Stegostoma tigrinum: one gene and its partners. The protein of the gene in region 1 interacts with the protein of each later gene in a biochemical or structural test. Links are inferred from orthologs where the notes say so. Each region holds a gene or a part of one and is shown in the gene's direction. Other genes may lie near its edges.

Region 1 (7,979 bases):
CACAAAATTTAGGCTGACATTTCAGTGCAGCGTGAAGCAAGTGCTGCATTGACTGTGTAGAGACTTATGCATGGTGAGTTTGGCCATGTTCATATTTCTCTCTGATCAGTTGATAATACTCCCGCCTCCGAACTAGAAGGTCACGTGTTCCAGCTTCATTAAAGTGGCTGGATTTTTTTTGGTTAACCAATCTGAGTTAAAAATCACCAATTGTCCTACAATTAATTGTTGTTTGTAGAAGACAGAGTTAAGCGATCCTACAGTCAATGGGTCAGATCTAAATTCTGCACTCCAACCATCCATGTACAAACAGTTGCAATTAAGCTACTAATAGGGGGTTGATAGTCCAAAATATTTCTTCTCATCAATGGGAAGTCCAGCACATCAGTGCAAATAATAAGGCTGAACCACTGCATCCATCTTTGGCCAAAAATGTTGAGTGGATAATCCGTCTGGACCTCTTCCTGAGATTCCCAGCATCATAGGAGCCAATCTTAACAGGTTGTTTCACTCCACGGATATGCAAAAAGCTACCGGGCCTGACAACACTCCAGCAACAGTAATGAAGATGTGTTCCAGAATTTCCGATGACCCCAGCCATGTTGTTCTGGTACTGCACAACATTAGTATCTATGTGAAAGTGTGGTACATTCCCTAGGTATGTGTTCACAAAGAGCAGGACAAATCCAACCAAGCAAAGTTCCACTCAATCTGCCTACCCTTCATCAGCAAAATGATGGAAGGGATTGTCAACCATCTTATCAACCCACATTTTCAAAGGAATAACTGGCTCATTCTTAGTCTTTTTCTGCTGCACCAAGGCCACTAAGTTCCATACTGCATTACAAACTTGGACCAAACATGGACAAAACAAGCTGAATTCCAGAGGTAACTTTCCTTCATATCTAGGCAGTATTTAGCACAAAGCTGAAAGAACTGCTGGAAATCAGAAACAAACAGAAATTGTCAGAAAAACTCAAGTCTGGCAACTTCTGTGGAGAGAATCATAGTTAACCACTCAGGTTCAGTGACCGTTCACCAGCCCTGAAGAAAGATCACTGGACCTGAAATATTAACTCTGATTTCTAGCATTTAGCAGAGTGCAGCATTAAGTAACGCCCATAATTACAAAGTCAATGAGAATCGGGGAGGAACTCGCTGCTGGTTGGAGTTAGATGTAACTTTTAAAAAAATGATAATGGCTTTGAGGTCAATCATCTCTGCCACAAGACTTCTCTGCAACCATTCCTCGAGGTAGTATGCTGGTCCCAACCATCAGAAGTGTTTTTATTTGAAGCTTGTGCAGTGTCCAGCACTGCAACATTCCAGATAGTGAAGCAGTCCATGTTCATCTGCAGCAAGTCCTGGGCAACGTCTAGGCTTGAATGTCTAAATGGTAAGTAATATTCATGCCACACAAGTACCAGGCAATGTTTGTTTCCAGTAAGAGAGTATATAATCATTGCTTATGCCATTGGATGTCAAGTGGCATTGATATTTTATTTTTAACAATTCTTTCATGCAATGTGGGTATTGTTGTATGAGACAGCATTTATTGCTCATTACTAAATACCCTTGAATTGAGTGGCTTGCCAAACCACTTTGCAAAACATTTAATGGTTCACTATATTTTTGTGGGTCTGGACTCATGTGTTAGCCAGACAAAGTAAGGCTGGCAGATCTTCTCTCATTAGGAACATCAGGGATCAAACTGAGGCTTACAATAATCAACAATGATTTAATGGTTGTTGTTGTACCAGCTTATTTATTGTTATCAAATGTAAATTTTCACCATTTGACATATTGGGATTTTAAGGCATATCCCTCAAACATATGTTTGGGATTCTGAATTGTTGGTCCAGTGACATGACCAGTATGTCACGATGTCCCTTGAATTCCCCACTATCAACATCCTGTGGGTTACCATTGACTAGAAACCGAACTAGGCTTGCAATTTACTTACAGTGGCTACAAGAGTAGTTCAGAGGTCAGGGATTCTATACAAAGTAACTCACCTGCCATCTCCCCCACTCCCTGTCTGCTATCTACAGGCACAAGTCAGGAATGTGATAGAGTACCCTCCATTTGTCTGGATGCACAGCTCCAAAAACACTCACTAAGCTTGACACTATTATGCAAAGAATACAGGGATATGGACCAATGGCAGGCAAAGGGATTAGTTTAAATTGGTGTCATGTTCTGCAGAACATCATGGGCTGAAGGGCCTGTTCCTGTGCTGTAAAGCTCTATGTTCTATCCAAGATACAGCAGGTGACTTCACTGGCACCCTAACCACAATCTTTAATATTAAATCCCTTCACCACCAACACACAGTAACAGCAATGTATACCATCTAGATGATGCAATATGATAACTCACCAAGACTCTGCCGAAAACACCTTTCAAACCTATGACCTCTACTACCTAGAAACACTACAGCAACAGGTACTCAGGATTAATACACATGCAATTTCCAAGTTACACACCATCCTGACTTGCATGGTATTATCATTCCATCACTGTTGCTGTATCAAAATGCTGGAGTTAAGTTTCCAAAAGCACTGTGATCATCCCTACACCCAAGTTACAGTGGTTCAAGAAGGCAACTCACCACCACCTTCTCTAAGGCAATCAGGTATGGCCAATGGTCTAGCTAGCAACACCCACCTTTCATGAACAAACAAAAATCTCTCAAATTTCAACCAATCTTTCTTAACTTTACTGAGGTTGTTGACTTGCTCGCTGAACTGGCTTGTTCTTGTTCAGTCATTTTTCACCAAACTAGGTGACATCATCAGTGGACCCTCCAATGAAGTGGTGTTATTCTACTCCACTTGAAATTTATACTGTTTGTTCCATTACGGTGAGCAGTGTCATTTCTGGTTTTGGTCTGTATGGGTTTACTTACCATAATGGACCAAACAGTATAAATTAAGTGGAGTAGAATAACACTGCTTCATTGGAACCTCCACTGATGATGTCACCTTATATGGTGATGAAATGTCTGAATAAGAATAAGCTAGCTCGACAAACAAGTCAACAACCTCCTCCACAGCCGGAGTTATGGATCTTTGCCAAAACTTTAATCTTAACTTTACTATTGAAAGACATAGCTCTAATGTTCATGCTATGTCCCCTACACCTAAGCATCCTAAATAACTGCAGTATTTTCTATCTATCTTATCAGCTCTCCTTCATATCTCTCAAAATTGGCAGTCTTCATTTCCTACATTATAAATAACTTGGTTTGAGAAAGTGTTTTGTTTAAGTCACCCTGTAATCTTCTTATTCCCAAGAAACAAAATTATGATATGTGCAATATAATACTTGGAGTTTAGACATAATTCTGTCAATTCCATGCTGTCATACCTCCAGGACCAATGTATCATTTCCTAAGGTGTTCCCTACAACTGAAATTAGTTCTCCAGGTGTGTGGTATAACTCAGACTCTGTACACCTGCATGGTAATTTTTAACCGTTGTACTCTTCTAGTCCTCTAGACACAACGGCCCATATTCCATGTTATGTTCTTACCTATGATATTTTAAAACCTATATACATTGACCTGCAAGTCTCCCTGAACTGTCACAGTTCCTAGCTTTTCATCACTTAGAAAGTACTTTGATTTATTCTGTTTAGATTTAAATTGAGTGAGTTTGTATTTCCCTACACTGAAATCCATTTGTCACAGTTTTGGATATTCCCTTGATATTCAGTATCTCTTCATAGTTCTGTACTTCCATTTATGTGGCTTCCGGTTTGACACCTTTTAGCTACCAGCAAACTTGGATATATAGCTGTCCATGCCATCAAAGTATTGTAATTAATAAAATATAGCTAATAGTTAAGCCCCAACAGAGATCTGTAAGACATCAGTCGTCATATCCATCAATTAAAAGGTACCTGTCTATTTTCCCTGTTCGGTAATATAATAACAAAGTCAATAATATTGCTTTCAATTACACAAACCTGAATTTTTGATAAGTCTCTAATGAGAGGCTTTATGAACTTCCAAAAGACACTTGATATAAATTACATTCATAGACATTCCTCAGACTAGCATTTCAAACACGCTTTAAAAAAAATTCAGGTTTGTCAGAAATAACCTGCCCTTCACAACCCAAGTTGGCCCATTCTGATTCGCTGAAAGTTTAAGGTGCTCAGTTACTCTCTACTTTTAATATAGACTTTAAAAGTTTCACAAATTGGTTCACATGCTTGGGTTTCCTTTCTTAAATAACCAAGTGGTCTGGAGTTTTCCCAATCTACATGAATTGTTCAGTTGCGAGAATGAGAGGGGAACAGAGTTTGGGCATTAAGGATTCTCTCCTTCCTGCAAAACCATGGGATGAAAGTCACTTAGTCTGGAGCATTTGGCATTGTTTTTAGGTTTATTACATTTATCAGTACTATAATTTTGCTTATGTCAATTTCGAAGAAGAGAATGAGTATTCCCTCTAGTATCCTAATGAATGTTGTCCCTTCACCAACATATTGCAAACAAATTATCTGGTTAATATTGCCCTGCAGTTTGTAAATTGGCAACCGCCATTTCATACGTTATAAACTACTTCGATTGATCGAGTGGTTTGGGTGTCTTTGAGATCCTGAAAGACCACATCAAGAGTTTTTAGACAAGAAAGGAAAAAAAAACTAAACTTCCTTGGAATATCAAACATGTCTGAAAACGTCTTCACTTCATTCAACAAATTATCCGTGTTGTCTTTTAAAAACATTTAAGTGTTTAAATACAAAGTTCATGAGCAATAGAATAAAAATGTCAGTGAAACCTAATGAACCAAGTCAATTAATCCGAAAATAGACAAACAATGTGCCTAGAAGTGTGTGAGTACAACTTTCTATGTAGTTACCAGACCTTGTAACAATCCCAAAGAAGCCCTGTCTCCTCCCTGCATTTGTGGTTGGTCTACTTCCGTTCCTTTCCCTGTCCGAGTGAGACACGCGTCTGACATTGTACCAGCCCTGGCAACCGGCAGGTCGGCGACAATCGCTGTCCAGATTACCAGAGAAGCAAAAGTGTAAAAAGAATCCAACAAAGAGGGAAAATAAAGTAAAAGGAGGACAGAAACACACAGCGAAAAGTATAACAAATACAAAAGTCAACATCTGACAGCAGGTTCATTCTTCAAGTCCATATGGTGCAACACTTGTTTTTTTCCACAGATTGTACAAAGTGTGGCATCCTGTCTGTTTTGTTATTGTTGTGAGGATAGTCCCCTCAATCACTCCAGAGCTGGAGCAGCTCCAGCTGATAGTGCGCAGCCGATGACGGGATATTGCTCGGTGAGTGAGTGTCAGTCAGTGCGTTGTTGCTGTGAGTGTTACACTACATCAGATACACTGTGACTCACTCTTACTGACATTGTATCCTCACCTCTCTCTATACTCTTATCTCTTCAGGTGTCCGCTTTCCTTTTTAATTATGTTAAGTTCTATGTCTTGATTCTCCATCTTTTCCGTTGTTGTCGGTGTGTTGTGTGTTTGTTTGGGAGGTGGGAGGGGAGCAGAGAGTGAGACACTGTCGTGCTTCAACGCAGTCAGTGTGTGACAGCGAGCCAGCGGTGGAGATGTCGGATGACGACTCGAGGGCCAGCACCAGCTCCTCCTCGTCTTCAAGTTCTTCACAAGCAGCTGAGAAAGAGACGAGAAACAACAACGACAGCATCACCGGCGGCGGCAGCAGCGATAACAACGGCGGCGGCGGGGGTGGTAGCGGCGGAGGGAGCAAGAGGAAAAGAGAAGCGAAGAACAACACCATGAGCAAGAACCCCAAACTGCTCACCACCAGCGCCAAGAGGTGAGTGCGGATGGCGGGGGGGTGGGCACGAGCTCCGGCCGTTGGTCTGGGGTGGGGGGGGGGGGGGGGGGGGAGAGATCATGGGGCTCCTGCTTTGCTTCTCTTCCCCTTCCCCCTTCCCCCCACCCTCCGGGGTTTCCTCCTTTCTCTCACCCGCGACACGCCAGACTTCTTTAACACCAGAGGCTCATTTGCATATTAGCTAAGATCATTTTGTACAAAAAAACAGGGCCGAGTTCTGACTCCATTGCCCCGGGTTTGCATTTCTGACGCCAACTACTTTCCACTGGGCCGGCTTGTGCGGACTCTGCTCGCCGGAGGAGTGCGGCAATCGAGTTGGAAATTTTTCACTGTATTAGCTTCTTGGAGCTGTGAGAGGCGGCCATGTTTTTCCCCCCCTCTCGCTTTCTCGTACAGGCTGAGGGTCAACGTCTTTGCTTTATTTTATTTCCCTAACTTTTTGAAGTCGTGAAATTTCGGAGAATGTGTTGGGAATGTGGCATTCTTAGTTATGCCGTGAGTTTTTAAAATGGTCAATGTTTTATGTTTGACAGAATCCAGAAGGAGCTGGCTGACATCACGTTGGATCCACCACCGAACTGCAGGTTAGTTATTTCTCATAAAATAAATGGTCTGCTTTAATATCTGCGTTAAAAGGGCGATGATAACTGGGCGTGCGATTTTTGTTTTATTTTAAAAATCTGGTTAATGAGTTAAAAGAGTAGTGATTGTTGTATTGAAACAGAAATTGGGATTCAGGCCAATTTTCTATTTGCAGAATCAAATAGAAGTTAAACGTCAGTACTTTAAACTGAAGTTTCTCTAATAAGTTTCAGTTTGGAAGCTTGAAAATTTCCTCCACGTTGAGGGGATTCCCATCAGTACTAAACTTCCTGGAAGATTCTTGTCCATCTGCATTTGGGCTGTTTCACAATTGTGATTTTTTGGGGGGGGGGAGGTACTGGGGTTACTGAAGTGTTCTGGTTGTGTATGTAATAGACGTGCTCATTTTTGATAAGTAAATGTTATGTCCTTCACAGACACCGCAAATGCGAGTAATTTGACTTTAAATGATTTTAATCAGTGCTGATAAGATGGTGACAAGTTCCTATCCAGTGGACAATTTTAAGCCTCACCTTTTCTTTTCAAAACAAAACTCCTTAAATTTTTTTTAACTGCTTTTGCAAGACCAGAATAAGGTCTGCCTACAATTAATTAGTGTACAAAATGTGAGATAGTGATTGGGATGTTGTCACATTTTAGGACAAAATGAGATTTGCAGTTATGATGTCTTCTGGGTTGTAGTTCGTTCTTGTTTTCTTAATGAGAACAAAAATGGCACTCAGTACCTATGTTGTGAAAAACATTTAAAAGTCATTTCCACTTAGTTGGATCACTTCCTGTTCGAGAAACTCTTTCACTTCGCTTATAACTTGAGCATTTATTTAAAACACCACCCTTCTTGGATATTAGTCATTGATTCGTTTGTATATTTGCCCAAGATAGAGCCTACAGTTATGTTGCACATGAAAATTCTTGTGTTTTATGAAGGAGACAATTGGAACAACTCCATGAACTTCGAGTCCAGAAATAAGTTTTCGGGTATTAATTAGATTTCAGAAATGATATTGGCATGTGATGTACTCTGCGCTGTTGGTATTCCATCACAAATTGTGTATGTTTTCTCTCTAATGAGATAGTAAATGGATAAGTGAGTTTAAAACCTGTAACTTAATCAATCCATGTGATAGCATAAGCTGTGAATAAATGGGTGACAGAATCTCAAAATTACTGAAATACTGCACAAAGCTTGAGTTATAACTAAGAAATTTTGAATAATGTTTGAAATGCACTGGAGTGAATGAATGTACAACATAGGCATACTAGCTTTGGCCATAATAGTGTTTTTAGATACAACTCTGAGGTAAACCTGCTTTCGGTATGTATGTGCTCTGGCATCGCAGGCATTGATGTCTGGTTTTGCGGATAGGTGCGCTTGGTTTTGATTTCTCCCATTTAAAACAAACTACTCGGTAATGATATAGGGGTTGGGCAGAAATATGGAAGGTTGAGTTAACCTAACCCTGACATGGAGGGGAAAATGGTTTCCTTAGATGTGTTGAGAGAGTTTGCTGCATTGATAACCTATTGCTGCGATAGC
Region 2 (8,012 bases), on another chromosome or scaffold:
CTTAATTTGTGTGTTAACCTTCTGTGTGGCACCTCACCACCAATGCCTTGTTAAAGTCTACATATACATCTACAAGAACTTGCATTATCTATATCGCTTGATACATCTTTGAAGAACCGTAGAATGTTGGTCAAACATGATGTACCCTTCATAAAGCCATGTTGACTCTGGTGTATTGCATTTTTACATTCTAAATGTCCCATTACTACTTTCTCAAAAATGGATTCCAACTTTTTCTCAATCACAAATGGTACACTAATTGTCTTTAATTTCCAATTTTCTGCCTCATTGTCTTTTTGAATAACTGCTTTACAAATTACCAATCCACAGAATCCAGGAATTTGAAATATTATAACCAATGCATCCATTATCTATGCTGCTACTTCTTTTAAAATCCTAGCATGTAAACCGTTAGGCCCTCGGGATTTGCTTACCTTTAATCCCAATAGTTTGCTCAGTACTTTTTCCTTAGTGATTGTGATTGTTCTAAGATCCTCTTTTTTGAAAACCTCTGCCTTAACTGTTACAGTTGGGATGGTTTCAGTGTTTGCTACCATAACAACGGAGGTAAAAGATTGACTGAATGTCTCTGCCCTTTGTGTTTTCCTCATTATTAACTCCCTAGTCTTATCCATGAAGGAACCAAAATTCACTTTTACTGTCTTTTTATGTTCTTAAAGATGACATTGATGTCCTTTCTTTCATATTTTGCACTAGTTTTCTTTCATAATTAGCAAATTTAGTTTCAATTTTATGACCCTAACCTCCTCAACATCCTTTATCACTTGGAAGTTGGTCCAGTATAGGAGGATTAGTGTAATTCTATATTTCCTTTATCCTTTGTGTAAAGAAGTGTTTCCTGATATAATTGTAAAATCGTTGCTAATCTATTCAGTGATACTGGCCCATTGAACTGGTAGCTCCTGACAGACAACAACTTGTATTCAAGTAGTTCCTTCATTGTAATTGAGCATCTCAAAATAGACCACAGGTACTTTGTTAAATTTCAGAGCTTCGGGTAATGTTGAACCTGAATAAAACATTAGTTTGAGCCCAATTGGTGAATTATGCGCTTTTATTAATGTATTCTTTCATGGGCCTGGTGTCCATAAGACGTAGGAGCAGAGTTAATATGGAACATTAAATAGTGGGGTTACATTAGTTACCTTCCAATTCACAGGATCTGTTCCAGGAACAGTTCTATGGAATTGTGAAATATGCATCCACTTTCTTAGACCACTTAATACTTTGGGATGAAGATTATCAGCTTCTGGAGATTTATCAGCATTTAGTCATATCAATTCCTTCAACACCATTTCCCTGCTGATACTGATTTCTTTCAATTCTTTCTCTTTACTGGATCCTGCGTTGCCCAACATTTTTAGAATGTTATTTGTGACCTCTTCTGTGAAGACTGATCAAAAATATGTGTTTAATTGGTGTTTAATTAAAAAGAAGCCAATATTTGTTTTCACCTAATTTAGGCCATTTAGCTCATCTAGTCTACTCCACCATTCAAATGAGATCATGGTTAATTTGGTAATCCTCATCTTCACTTTCCTGCCTTTTCCGTTTAATCCTCGATTCCCTTACGATTTAAAACAGTATGTCTATCTTAGCCTTGTATGTTCTTAACAATACAGTCTTGACAGTCCGCTATAGTAAAGAATTCCATAGTACCCTCTGGGAGAAGAGATTCCTTGTAGCTTTTATAGTTTCAGGAAAACCTCCCTCTTTTATACTCCATTCCCTTTGAAATAGTGTTCCATTTGCCTTCCCTGTTACCCACTGAACCTGGATGCCAACTTTTAGTGATTCACACGAGAACTCCTAAATTCATGTGTGCTGTAGCCTTCTGCAGTCTTTCTCAATTTAAATAATATTCAGATCCTCTATTCATTATGCCAAAGTGCATAACCTCATATTTTCTTTATACCCTATTCCATTTGCAAAATATTTGCCCTGAACCTAACCTGTTTACATCCTATCTACCTGCCTACGATTTATGCCCATAGTCAGACCATAACTGAAAACAGTGAACAATACAGGTGTCCTTATTTAAGATAAAATATACTGACATTTGGAGCCATTCTAGAGAAGGTTTAGTCGGCTGATAGCAGGTATGGAGGAACGAAAAAAAAGTTGCTGGAAAAGCTCAGCAGGACTGGCAGCATCTGTGGAGGAGAAAACAGAGTTAATGTTTTGGGTCTGGTGACCCTTCCTCAGAACTGATGGTGGCTGGGAAAACATCAGTTGATATGCAGAAAATAGGGAGGTGGGTGGGGTAGGGAGTAAACGATAAGATAGAGCCCAGAGAGAAAGAAAGACAGTTGGACAGACAAAGGAGTTACTAACGATTAGGCTGGGAGGGTGAATAGATGTTAATGGGGACAGTTAGTGACTAACAACAGGGGGTGTGTAATGGCAGGCTAGGTAGTAACAAGGTGTGTGGGGTGGGGGAACTGGGACACGGGAGAGTTTAGGGCCTAAAATTATTGAACTCAATATTGAGTCCGGAGGGCGGTAGGTTCCCCAAGTGGAAAATGAAGTGTTGTTCCTCCAGCTTGCGTTGGGCTTCACTGGAACACTGCAGCAAGCCAGAGACAGAGATGTTTTCCAGGGAGCAGGGTGGTGCATTGAAGTGGCAGGCAACAGGTAGTTCAGGGTCTTTTTTGCAAGCAGAACGTAGATGTTCTGTGAAGCAATTGCCAAGTCTATGCATCATTTCCCCAATGTAGAGGAAACCACATTGTGAGCGGCAAATGCAGTAGACTAGAATCTTGGAAGCGCAGGTGAAGTGTTGCTTCACCTGAAAGGTATGTTTGGGCTCTTGGTTACTGAGGAGGGAAGAGGTAAATGGACAAGTGTTGCACCATCACTGTTTACAGGGGAAGGTGCCATAGAGCTGTGGGGAGGTGGACTGGATATTGGGAAGGGAGAAGGTAAATGGGCAGGTGTTGTTGTGCTTTCTTGACCAAAAATCTTCCTTACTATTCTGTTTTATCACCATCACTTGAATAAATTGTTGTGATCTCTCTACCTTAATTATTTTGTACAGTTTTGGATTGCTTATGATTTTAGTTGGACCCTCAACTTACAACTTTAATACTTATCATGGTATTCCAATCATTTGGTTTGTCTCCAGCACTTTTTTTTCCAAATTTTTTGTAATTATCTCTCTGCCTCATTTAATCGGATTTTAGGCCATCCCCTCACTTGTTATTCAGCTGTTGACACTTTATTCACACCATCTAACACTTCAGATCTTCTATAGCAACTGATTATTTGACGTTCCACTCACACTATTTGTATGATCTTTTGATCTCTCTGCCCTTGATCTTCCTCTGCCCATAAATTCTACGTGCTTCTCTCTCACTTCATCAAAGGGGCCACACTCTGAAAGCTTGTGATTTCACATAAACGTGTTGGACTCTAATCTGGTGTTGTGTGACTTCTGACCATAACCTCAGAATTATAGATGGCACATTTGAAACAGAAATGATGAGGAACAAAAACAGAAGTCGCCGTAAAAGCTCAGCAGGTCTGGCAGCATCTGTGAAGAAAAAAAGTCCCAGTTAATGTTTTGGGTCCGGTGACCCTTCGTCAGAATAAATGAGGAATTTCTCTTCTCAAGAGGGTAGTGATCTGTGGAATTCAGCAGAGTTCTGTTCAGGCTGAATCATTAAGTATATTCAAGATCAGAGCCTTTTGGAGATAGACGGAATTTTAAATCAGTATGGGAATCAGGCATTGTCGGGGAAAGTCAGCAAGTGGAGTGGAGGATCATCAGATCAGCCATGATCTCAATGAAAGCTGGAGCAGGCTGAACGGTTTATTTCTGCTCTTCTGGCCCAGCTTGGAAATACATATTTAGAAAAACAAGAGGCAACAGATACATGGGAACGATTCCAAACCACACATCATGCCTACTTGGAAATATATTGCTATTCCTTAAGTGCCACTGGATCAAAATCCTCAAACTTCCCCCATCCTGAACAGCACTAAGATACATCTACAACATTGAATGGGCTGTGGTGGTTCAAAAAAAATGCAGGTCATCGCGCCAGAAGCCACGCCCACCTGGCGCTGATTGGCTGTCGGGCGGAGCACTGAGGTGGTCAACGGTGATGATTGACAGTGTCAGTTGGTTCATGCGCTCCCATGTCTCACCAGCATCCCCCCGCCCCACGACAGACAGACAAGGCGGAGAGGAAGGGGTTTTCAAACACCGGTTGCATTGTTGCGACTCTGAAGAGTCTCTCGGTTCAAACACCATCCGTTCATTCTCGCCTACGGAAAACGGGCGGGCGCACAATTTACCTCCATGGATTCTAACTTACCGTCGATCACATGATTGATTCATCTTTATATACATAACATACAACGAATATAGAAACGTAACGTATATATACACAGCATATTAAAAAAAACCTCTCCCATCCTGGCAGAGAAAGATGGAAAATTTCAAAGTGCCGCCGTTTAACGGTCAGAACGCGCATGGCGCACCGCCCTCTGGGAGTTGTAGTCTTTCCATATAGGTCATTCGGGATAGGTTCATTCACAAAATGTGAGGCTGGATGAACACAGCAGGCCCAGCAGCATCTCAGGAGCACAAAAACTGACGTTTCGGGCCTAGACCCTTCATCACTCGCCTCTGATGAAGGGTCTAGGCCCGAAACGTCAGCTTTTGTGCTCCTGAGATGCTGCTTGGCCTGCTGTGTTCATCCAGCTTCACACTTTATTATCTTGGATTCCCCACCATCTGCAGTCCCCATTATCACAGGTTCGTTAACAAAACCGTCATCACAAGTTCTGAGGAAGGGTCAGCGGTCCCGAAACGTTAACACTGGTTTTCTTCCCCCACAACCAGACCTGCTGAGCTTTTCCAGTAACTTCCGTTTTTGCTCCGTAATCCGCTGCTACGGCGTGTGACCTCCCTTTGACCTCGCGCGGAGACCCCGCCCAAGATGAACGGGGCCGGGGAACAGGCTGTCGAATCATTGGGTCGCTGCCGTGGAGATGCGATGACGGTCTCCGTGACCATTGACCAATCGACAACGGGATTTGCACCCCCCACCCCCCCCCCATTATGAAGGCGGGCCGTGGTGAGGTCACGTGGGATGTGGCTTTTCCTTCCGCCGGTATCTGCTATTCACAGCGATTGAAGGTCTTTAATGGTGACTGGATTATTCCTTTCATCTGCATGGTGACTGGCTCTTCATTTGTTTTCATGTGTGAGGTTATGTCTCCGAGAGGTACTCACCTTGAGTTGTTGTCTTCCGCTTTGTTGTGTGTGTGTGTTTTGCATGTTTTTTTTAGCTGCCACTCCAGTGAAGGCTTTTTCTGATTTGGTTATTTTCTTAGGCCTCAGCAACTACAGTTTAAGCACTTGCCGGTGACGTCTCTATTCTATGTTTCATGTTTTCCTAACGAGCAATGTTCCTACTATCGCTTTGTATCTGAATATCAGTTTTGAGGAGATTCATTGTGGTCACTGTGAAACGTAAGACCATAAGAAGTGGGGACAGGAGTAGGCCGTCCTGTTATTCCGGCTTGTTCCACCATTTTAGTATTATCATGGCTGATATGACATTCCTCGTGTCCACTTTCTGTCTTTTCCCCATTACCCTTGATTTCCCGACAGATCATGAATTTGTCTGAAACTTTATTGTGCACAAGAACTGTGGCCCCACAACTGTCTGTGACAAGGAGTTCCAAAGACTTTCGAATCTCCGACAGGCGAAATTCTTCCTCCTCTTAGTTTTTAATTGGCACCATGGTATTCTGAGACTGTGCCCTTGCATGAGTGCTTATCTTTTTTTCTATCCAGAGTGAGGTCAAGTTTGGGATATTTGGTCTTTATTGTATGGTTGTATTCAAATACCTCTGGTCTGTTCCCATGCCACTTCACACTACTTGTTCATGTTTGATGTTTAAGCTGCATCTACATTGTAGCAATGAACAGGAGTGCACAGAGTCAGCACTCAATGATAATGTATGTAAATTGAACTAAAACTGAAAAAAATCATGATTTATTTGGAAAATAAAACAGTGCTGGAAGAATTATTGTTTCTATACTGGTAGTATTACCTACAATTTTAGTAACTTGATGGATATAAATCAGCTAAGGACTTTTGTTTCATTGTTTGTGTATCTGTGTGTCTCCATTTTGTGACCATTGCTGTAACCTTTTCATGTCATATCCTGACCCTCTTTCACCTTGCAATCTCATTGTTCTCTTGTTTTAGGATCTCCAAAGAGTTCCTGCTTTGCTTAGTATTTTAAAATCAGCAGGATCTTAATTGTACAAGTGTTTGAATTATATAACAACTACTTCAGTCTTGTTGAAAAATGTCTAAGTTTGTCCAAGTTTATCAGCTTACACTTGACAGGGCATTCATGAGAATGGTAGTTAAAGGAGAACAATGTCTTTATAATTTTTGTGAAGAGTGTCTGGTCTTTAGGTGGCCTCTGATAGAAGGATAGCCATGTAGATTGCGTAAGTAGATGACTGATACTTTCCTTGAAAATGAAAATGAACTAAGACAAATAACTGCAGATGTGAAACAAAACTGAAGTCACTTAGTAAAACACAGCAGGTCTGGTAGCATCTGTCGGAAGAAAAGTGTTAACATTTTGACCCCCAGTAACTCTTACAATGGAAAAACTTTTTTTTGCAATCATTCGAGGCAGATCATAGCAAACAAGGACGTACGGATCATTGGGCGCTTAGAGTGAGGTATACAAGGTTACAACTGCACAGAAAGTGCACAAAGTAAGATCAACATTATTTGAAGTTAGAGATTCATCAGCCCAATAATAGTAAGGAGAAGCTGTTCTTGAACCAGTTGATGCATATGTTCAATCTTCTGAATTTTCTGTCTGACAGGGTTGGAAGAGAGCATTGTTGGGATGGCAGGGATCTTTGTTGGCATGGAATGAGAAGTGGAAATGGAGTGCGTAGATGGGAGGTTGGTTTCTGTGATGGTCTGGGCTGTGCGCATAACTTTGTGTAGTTTTGTGAGATTCTGGGCAGAGCATTTGCTCTCACAGGCTGTTGTGCACCTGGATAGAATGCTTTCTATGGTGCATCTGTAAAAGGTGGCGAGGGTCCTTAGGGACATGCCAAATTCCTAAGTCGCTCAAGGGGGAAGAAGCATTGTGCCTGCTTGACCATTACATCTGCTGGGGAGATCCATGATATTGTGACTCTTAGGAACATGATGCTCTCAACCTCCTCCACCTCAGCTCTGTTGATGTAGATAGAGGCGTATCCTCCTCCTTTGTCCCTGAAGTCAATAACTTGTTCTTTTGTTTTGCTGATATTGAGAGGGAGGGTGTTATTATTGCACCACTCTCTTCCTTCCTGTATTCTGACTCATCGTTGTTTGATGTCCAGCCTGTTGCGGTAGTCTTATCAGCAAACTGATAACACATCTTTAGGGGGCTCCAGTCTGAAGAATAATCGAGGCAAAAGTGCTGTTGTTTGTCTTCACTGTGGTTTGTGAATTAGAATTAGAATATCCTTTATTGTCATGTGTATTGCAATGTAGAAGTACAGTGAAAAGCTTTCAGAATGTCTGTCTCTTATGGCACCTAGATAACAAAGTGGGGAGCTGAATGAACACAGCAGGCCAAGCAGCATCTTAGGAGCACAAAAGCTGACGTTTCAGGCCCAGACCCTTCATCAGAGAAGGGGGATGGGGAGAGGGTCCTGAAATAATTAGGGAGAGAGGGGGAGGTGGATCGAAAGTGGTGGGGAGGGAATAGGTCAGTCCGGGGCGGACGGACAGGTCAAGGGGGTGGGAAGAGGTTAGTAGGCAGGAAATGGGGGTGCGGCTTGAGGTGGGAGGAGGGGATAGGTGAGAGGAAGCACAGGTTAGGCGGGGACGAGCTGGGCTGGTTTTGGGATGCAGTAGAAGGTTATGGCACCATCTTAGGTACAGATACCTAGGTAAGAATCTTGTGTACAACAGAGGAATAGAAAGCGGTTGCGTTACTTTAGAGTTTAA
Region 3 (6,953 bases), on another chromosome or scaffold:
TCTGCTCTCCAAAGTTGCAAACAAGCAGTTGCTTGCAGTTTGCTGAAGTTTTCTGGTTTTGTCTCAATAACAGACATGTCTTCCCTCTAAATTCAAATAATGCTTCCTGTTCAACCCTTACATACATGTTTCCTTACTGACAACAAAATGTGAGGCTGGATGAACACAGCAGGCCAAGCAGCATCTCAGGAGCACAAAAGCTGACGTTTCGGGCCTAGACCCTTCATTCCTTACTGACTAAAGCTTTTTCTCCTAGAATTTGCTAGTGCTGTCAGTTCATCTGATTATAACACATTGCCTAGGATAATTGGCACACATCACAAAAAGCAGAAAACTGGTTGTGGGGATATTTCAACAGACTGATAAAAGACCATGTTACATAAGTCAAATCTGGGCAGAGACAGGCATCCGGGGGAGGTGTGAAACATCTCTAAAGAAGAGTAGGGAAAGACTAGTAAAATGGAGGTCACCAGCACTGGATTTGTTATACATGATGACAGCTAACCAATGGCTCGAAAAAAGGAAAGAATGGTGTGCTTTGATTAATAGTCAATGGTTATATTACGAGAACCAAAAGGTCCTGTTTGCTTCAACTACATTTTGTCTCAACTGGTTTCAAACCTTCAGGAATCTCTGCATAACAACAAAAGGCAGAGACAGGTTCAAGTCCCATCTGCTCCAAGGTGAATTGCATTTCTCAGTCTCCATCTCAGGCAACCAGCTTGTAACTGATGTCCATTTCAAGCCCACCGACTCCCACAGCTACCTAGAATACAACTCCTCCCACCCACCCTCCTGCAAAAATTCCATCCCCTATTCCCAATTCCTCCGCCTCCGCCGCATCTGCTCCCACGATAAGACATTCCACTCCCGCACATCCCAGATGTCCAAGTTCTTTAAGGACCGCAACTTTCCCCCCACAGTGATCGAGAACGCCCTTGACCGCGTCTCCCGTATTTCGCGCAACACATCCCTCACACCCCGCCCCCGCCACAACCGCCCTAAGAGGATCCCCCTCGTTCTCACACACCACCCTACCAACCTCGGGATACAACGCATCATCCTCCGACACTTCCGCCATTTACAATCCGACCCCACCACCCAAGACATTTTTCCATCCCCTCCCCTGTCTGCTTTCCGGAGAGACCACTCTCTCCGTGACTCCCTTGTTCGCTCCACACTGCCCTCCAACCCCACCACACCCGGCACCTTCCCCTGCAACCGCAGGAAATGCTACACTTGTCCCCACATCTCCTCCCTCACCCCTACCCCAGGCCCCAAGATGACATTCCACATTAAGCAGAGGTTCACCTGCACATCTGCCAATGTGGTATACTGCATCCATTGTACCCGGTGCGGCTTCCTCTACACTGGGGAAACCAAGCGGAGGCTTGGAGACCGCTTTGCAGAACACCTCCGCTCAGTTCGCAACAAACAACTGCACCTCCCAGTCGCAAACCGTTTCCACTCCCCCTCCCATTCTCTAGATGACATGTCCATCATGGGCCTCCTGCACTGCCACAATGATGCCACCCGAAGGTTGCAGGAACAGCAACTCATATTCCGCCTGGGAACCCTGCAGCCATATGGTATCAATGTGGACTTCACCAGTTTCAAAATCTTCCCTTCCCCTACTGCATCCCTAAACCAGCCTAGTTCGTCCCCTCCCCCCACTGCACCACACAACCAGCCCAGCTCTTCCTCCCCACCCACTGCATCCCAAAACCAGTCCAACCTGTCTCTGCTTCCCTAACCGGTTCTTCCTCTCACCCATCCCTTCCTCCCACACCAAGCCGCACCCCCAGCTACCTACTAACCTCATCCCACCTCCTTGACCTGTCCGCCTTCCCTGGACTGACCTATCCCCTCCCTACCTCCCCACCTATCTTCTTTACTCTCCATCTTCGGTCCGCCTCCCCCTCTCTCCCTATTTATTCCAGCTCCCTCTCCCCATCCCCCTCTCTGATGAAGGGTCTAGGCCCGAAACGTCAGCTTTTGTGCTCCTGAGATGCTGCTTGGCCTGCTGTGTTCATCCAGCCTCACATTTTATTATCTTGCATTTCTGAATAGTTTGATTAGAAAGCGTCTGAAAGATAACAGCTCCAAAACACCATCTCATCTAGCAATTATTGACAACACCCAGGTGTGACTTGGGCATTGCTGGACTGTTTGGTCAATGCACAATCATGGAGGAGCTGTAACTTACTCCGGTTAAACACTAGGAAAAGTTCATCTCCAGCCACAAGCTCATTCTTGCAATATGAGAATCCTATTTGATAGTGATTGATTTATCCTCTGGCGCTGGCCACTCTTGTCGGATGGTAGTGTGTTTTTACTGCTTAATATCATCTGTTTCTTGAAGATATCAAGACTTGACACTTTATTTTAAAAAACACCAGAGTATTTTCTTAGTAACTGTCACACGTTCCCTCTCCTGACATTCCCTCGTCGGGGTATATTACATTTCAGACAGCAGTCATCATATGGTATCTTGCAAATGGTGAATGTCGAGAGGGTACTTTAACAAGGTGCCCCTTGTTGGAACAGAACACGACGAATTTTGCCCTTCTTGGCCTGGGGGTGCTGAAATCAATTGCAGCATGAAAGAAAGAGTCAAAAGATCATTGACCTGAAAGAAACGTTGCCTGACGTGCAGTATTTTAAGCGGCTTGTTTTTATTTCAGATTTCTGGTAAACACAGTATTTTGGATACCTGTACCTTGAAAATCTCTGACCGACCTGACGTGGATTAATTCAAAAAAGATCAGCGCCAGAACCTTTTTACCTTTCCAACATGATTCAACGACTTGCTAAGTAAGGCTGCTAAAGAATCAGAGTATTGAGTATTTTAATAAATGCCTTTAACGGCAGCAGTTATGTCAGAAAAATCAATCCTTTTGTTGCTAAATTGTTCCAATCTCCGAGAATTACATTTGTGAAACTTTTCAGAACATACAGTTTGAAATTTTGCTCTTATTTTGCCTTGCTTATTGACCACAGACAAGTTCGGTGGGGGCATTGCATTACTTTAAAAGGTGTTACAAAATGTAGAAGAATAAATTTGTCTTTGGATGCATTGAGCTCGTACAAATTCATAGCTGAGAATAATGAGCTGCTACTAAGAAAATTTTCGTTTAAAACATCACACATACTAAAAGAGGGAGGTTGAAATAGCATGCAGTCTGCTTTTAAGCATGTGATCCAATGAATATTTAGCTACTTACAATGGAATTTTTCATCATGGCTTTCACTGTGAAACCTTCAGTTACTCTATGATCCTTCTTAGGTCTTTGATACATAGTCGCCAGAAGTTTCTGGTTGCCCTTTTCCAGTCCGTAGGCAGCTGGCATTTTATTTGTTGTGAAGGCAGAGTAGCAGTAAGACACCTCCTACTGAACAAATTCCACCGCTGTTATATTGTTCTTGCAACGTTTCGAACAAAATCTTGGTTCACCAACAGCTGGTGGTTTTCCGGGCACCCCGTTGCTAAGAGAGATACATTAAACAAACGCCGTCATTTCCGTCACGCCGAAGGGTTCCCGTTAATTCAGTTGACATATCACGTGACTGGAACGGGCTTATTTTTGAATCATGATGCCCCGACTGCACGTTGAGTGTACCCTCAGTAAAATTGACCTAAAACATTAAAGCGAACACTTTTTTAAAAGACGTTTTGTTTCCTCCTTCCTGATATGAGGGTTACTCTGTTTCAAACTTCACGCTCACAATCGCCGTCTCTCGGGCTCTTTTCTCGGCGACTCAATCCCTCAGGGCACCAACCCTCCCACTTCCTTGGTTTTCACAACCCTTAATGATCTCCGTGGACCTCCTTCCTTTATTTATTCTTTAATAATGATGTATATGGTACTACTTGCTCACCATCTTGTAAATCCTTTTATTTCCAAATTCACGTGTTCGACCCTTTACCCTCGCGCGCCGCCTCTTCCTCTGCCCTCGAACGCACTCCACCACGTTAGTAAACAATCCTGGAACTCCCTGACAAGGAAGAAAGCTGCACGCAAGCGCAGTACAACTTGGCCTACAGATTTTAACTGGAATATCTACAGGCGACATGATGTAAAATTCAGCTTCGCCCAAAGTGTCCCCTTTGTAGAGCTGAAGTGATCAAAGAAATGATCGGTAGGTGATGGCTTGACATAAAGTTATTGCCAGGTCGTGTTCAGTCGTATTTGCAGACGTCATGTACGCACGTCCGGTTAGCATAATAATCCATCATTTTTGACTATAGCAAACGAAAATTTGAAACAAATATTGACTTGAAGTGATAAATCAAAGGTAAATTAGATATAATCATTTCATTCACCATACAGTATACAGTAGTGGTGTAAACAAAATCACTGTCTCCCCGGCGGGGAATTGAACCCCGGTCTCCCGCGTGACAGGCGGGGATACTAACCACTATACTACCGAGGATCTGATGTTTTGTTATTTGGCTTTCAGACTAGAAAAAAGATAGCCGTAGAATAATTAAACGATCAATTAAATCTGAAAGATAGTAAAACTAACTAAATCTAAACTGTTCAATGGTTTAATTAATTTTGTGTATAACTTTATGTATGATAATGTACATTTTACAATGTTTAATGCAAACCAACCCTGACATGACTTACTTAAAAATCTGTGGAGCCATTCCAATTGGCCTGATACTTTGCTGTTTGAGAAAATATGGACCGATTCTGTAAAACATATCTAGTTCCTTGTCATCAATTTCTATTTCAATATACACTTGGTACGATGCAACTGGAGGTTGAAATTTGTTGACAATGAAAGACTTGAGGAAATTTCACTGTACGTGAAACGTCAACTCTGATTTCTCTTCGTATTTAATGCCAGAACCACTGAGCTTTTCCTAGCCATTTCTGTTTTAGTTTCTAAATTACAAAGATGGTCCACAAGGACTGTGACAGTTCTCCCCTTCTCCCTGTACAACCAAGCCAAAGCTGTGGCAAAGATTGCTATGTTGATGACCTCTGAAGTTTGAAATTCAACCAGCGAAATACATTCGGAAAATCCTCTTTGTATTCATTGAAATGCTGTCCTCCATGCATAAAGATTTGCTGCATTTTCCATGGGAATGGAACACGAGGCAAACAAACTAATTGGTGAAACAAGATCAAAGACAAAAACAGAAATTGCTGGGGGAAAAAAATAATCAGGTCTTGCAGCATCTGTTGAGAGAAAACAGAATTAATACTTTGGATCCAGTGACCCTTCTGAGTTTTTCCAGCATTTTTTGTTTTAGAACATAGAACATAGAACATAGAACAGTACAGCACAGAACAGGCCCTTCAGCCCACAATGTTGTGCCGACCATTGATCCTCATGTATGCGCCCTCAAATTTCTGTGACCATATACATGTCCAGCAGTCTCTTAAATGACCCCAATGACCTTGCTTCCACAACTGCTGCTGGCAACGCATTCCATGCTCTCACAACTCTCTGCGTAAAGAACCTGCCTCTGACATCCCCTCTATACTTTTCACCAACCAGCTTAAAACTATGACCCCTCGTGCTAGCCATTTCTGCCCTGGGAAATAGTCTCTGGCTATCAACTCTATCTATGCCTCTCATTATCTTTTCTGATTTCCAGTTTCTTTGGACTTTTCACTTGGTGAAACAAGATGCTGTAGTTAGAAATTTCAGCCCTGTGTCAAAATGGATAATTTGCAGTGCTGTTGCAACATGGACAAGGCATTCTGTAACTAATCCCCATAATCAGATGTGATTATGAAATGAATCCAGAATGATTTACTCCATAATAACAAAGTGTGGAGCTGGATGAACACAGCAGGCCAAGCAGCATCTTCGGAACACAAAAGCTGACGTTTCGGGCCTAGACCCTTCATCAGAAAAGGGGGAAGGGGAGAGAGTTCTGAAATAAATAGGGAGTGGGGGAGGCGGATCGAAGATGGATAGAGAAGATAGGTGGAGAGGAGACAGACAAGTTAAAGCGCAGGAATGGAGTCAGTAGAGGTGAGTGTAGGTGGGGAGGGGATTGGTCAGTCTGGGGAGGACGGCCAGGTCAAGGGGGTGGGATTAGGTTGGTAGGTAGGAAATGAGGGTGGGGCTTGAAGTGGGAGGAGGAGATAGGTGAGAGGAAGAAGGGGTTAGGGAGGCAGGGACGAGCTGGGCTGGTTTTAGGATGCAGTGGGGGGAGGGGAGATTTTGAAGCTTGTGAAATCCCCATTGATACCATTGGGCTGCAGGGTTCCCAAGTTGAATATGAGTTACTGTTCCTGCAATCTTCGGGTGGCATCATTGTGGCACTGAAGGAGGCCCAGGATGGACATGTCATCTAAGGAATGGAAGGGGGAGTTGAAATGGTTCACGACTGGGAGATGCAGTTGTTTATTGCGAACCGAGCCTAGGTGTTCTCCAAAGCTGTCCCCAAGCCTCTGCTTGGTTTTCCCAATGTAGAAGAGGCCACAACGGGTACAGCAGATGCAGTATACCACTTTGGCAGATGTGCAGGTGAACATCTGCTTCTTGAGGAAAGTCTTCTTGGGGCCTGGGATGGGAGCGAGGTAGGAGGTATGGGAGCAGGTGTAGCACTTTCTGTGGTTGCAGGGCAAAGTGCCGGGTGTGATGGGGTTGGAGGGGAGTGTGGAGCGGACAAGGGAGTCACAGAGAGCGTGATCCCTCCGGAAAGCAGACAAGGGTGGGGAGGGTAAGATGTCTTTGGTGGTGGGGTCGGATTGCAGATGGCGGAAGTGTCGGAGGATGATGCGTTGGATCTGGAGGTTGGTGCGGTGGTACATGAGGACGAGGGGGATTCTCTTTTGGTGGTTATTGCGGGGACGGGGTGCGAGGGATGAGTTGCGGGAAATGCGGGAGACACAGTCAAGGGTGTTCTCGACCACTGCGGGGGGAAAGTTGCAGTTTTTGACAGCTGAGATGTAAGGGAGTGGAATGCCTCATTTTCAGAGCAGATG

The links. The genes of interacting proteins can lie anywhere in the genome.
Region 2: the proteins of ubiquitin-conjugating enzyme E2 E1 (region 1) and rnf4 form a complex in vitro, tested with the Homo sapiens proteins (2 studies listed by BioGRID, with this or other methods). The link is inferred for Stegostoma tigrinum from reciprocal best matches to the Homo sapiens genes UBE2E1 and RNF4.
Region 3: the proteins of ubiquitin-conjugating enzyme E2 E1 (region 1) and prkn form a complex in vitro, tested with the Homo sapiens proteins (2 studies listed by BioGRID). The link is inferred for Stegostoma tigrinum from reciprocal best matches to the Homo sapiens genes UBE2E1 and PRKN.

The regions. Positions count from the first base shown.
Region 1 is NC_081355.1:64,890,210-64,898,188, reverse strand, and holds the start of ubiquitin-conjugating enzyme E2 E1, read left to right. Parts: upstream 1-4,969; 5' UTR 4,970-5,588; coding exon 5,589-5,818; intron 5,819-6,372; coding exon 6,373-6,423; intron 6,424-7,979. UniProt on the Homo sapiens protein: Accepts ubiquitin from the E1 complex and catalyzes its covalent attachment to other proteins. Catalyzes the covalent attachment of ISG15 to other proteins. Mediates the selective degradation of short-lived and abnormal proteins.
Region 2 is NC_081356.1:130,785,198-130,793,209, reverse strand, and holds the start of rnf4 (RING finger protein 4), read left to right. Parts: upstream 1-5,001; 5' UTR 5,002-5,177; exon of another isoform or gene 5,178-5,255; intron 5,256-8,012. UniProt on the Homo sapiens protein: E3 ubiquitin-protein ligase which binds polysumoylated chains covalently attached to proteins and mediates 'Lys-6'-, 'Lys-11'-, 'Lys-48'- and 'Lys-63'-linked polyubiquitination of those substrates and their subsequent targeting to the proteasome for degradation.
Region 3 is NC_081362.1:24,013,693-24,020,645, forward strand, and holds the start of prkn (E3 ubiquitin-protein ligase parkin), read left to right. Parts: upstream 1-4,074; 5' UTR 4,075-4,133; coding exon of another isoform or gene 4,134-4,140; intron 4,141-4,362; exon of another isoform or gene 4,363-4,434; intron 4,435-6,953. Other genes in the region: parkin coregulated gene protein homolog, read right to left, coding at 3,880-4,074. UniProt on the Homo sapiens protein: Functions within a multiprotein E3 ubiquitin ligase complex, catalyzing the covalent attachment of ubiquitin moieties onto substrate proteins. Substrates include SYT11 and VDAC1.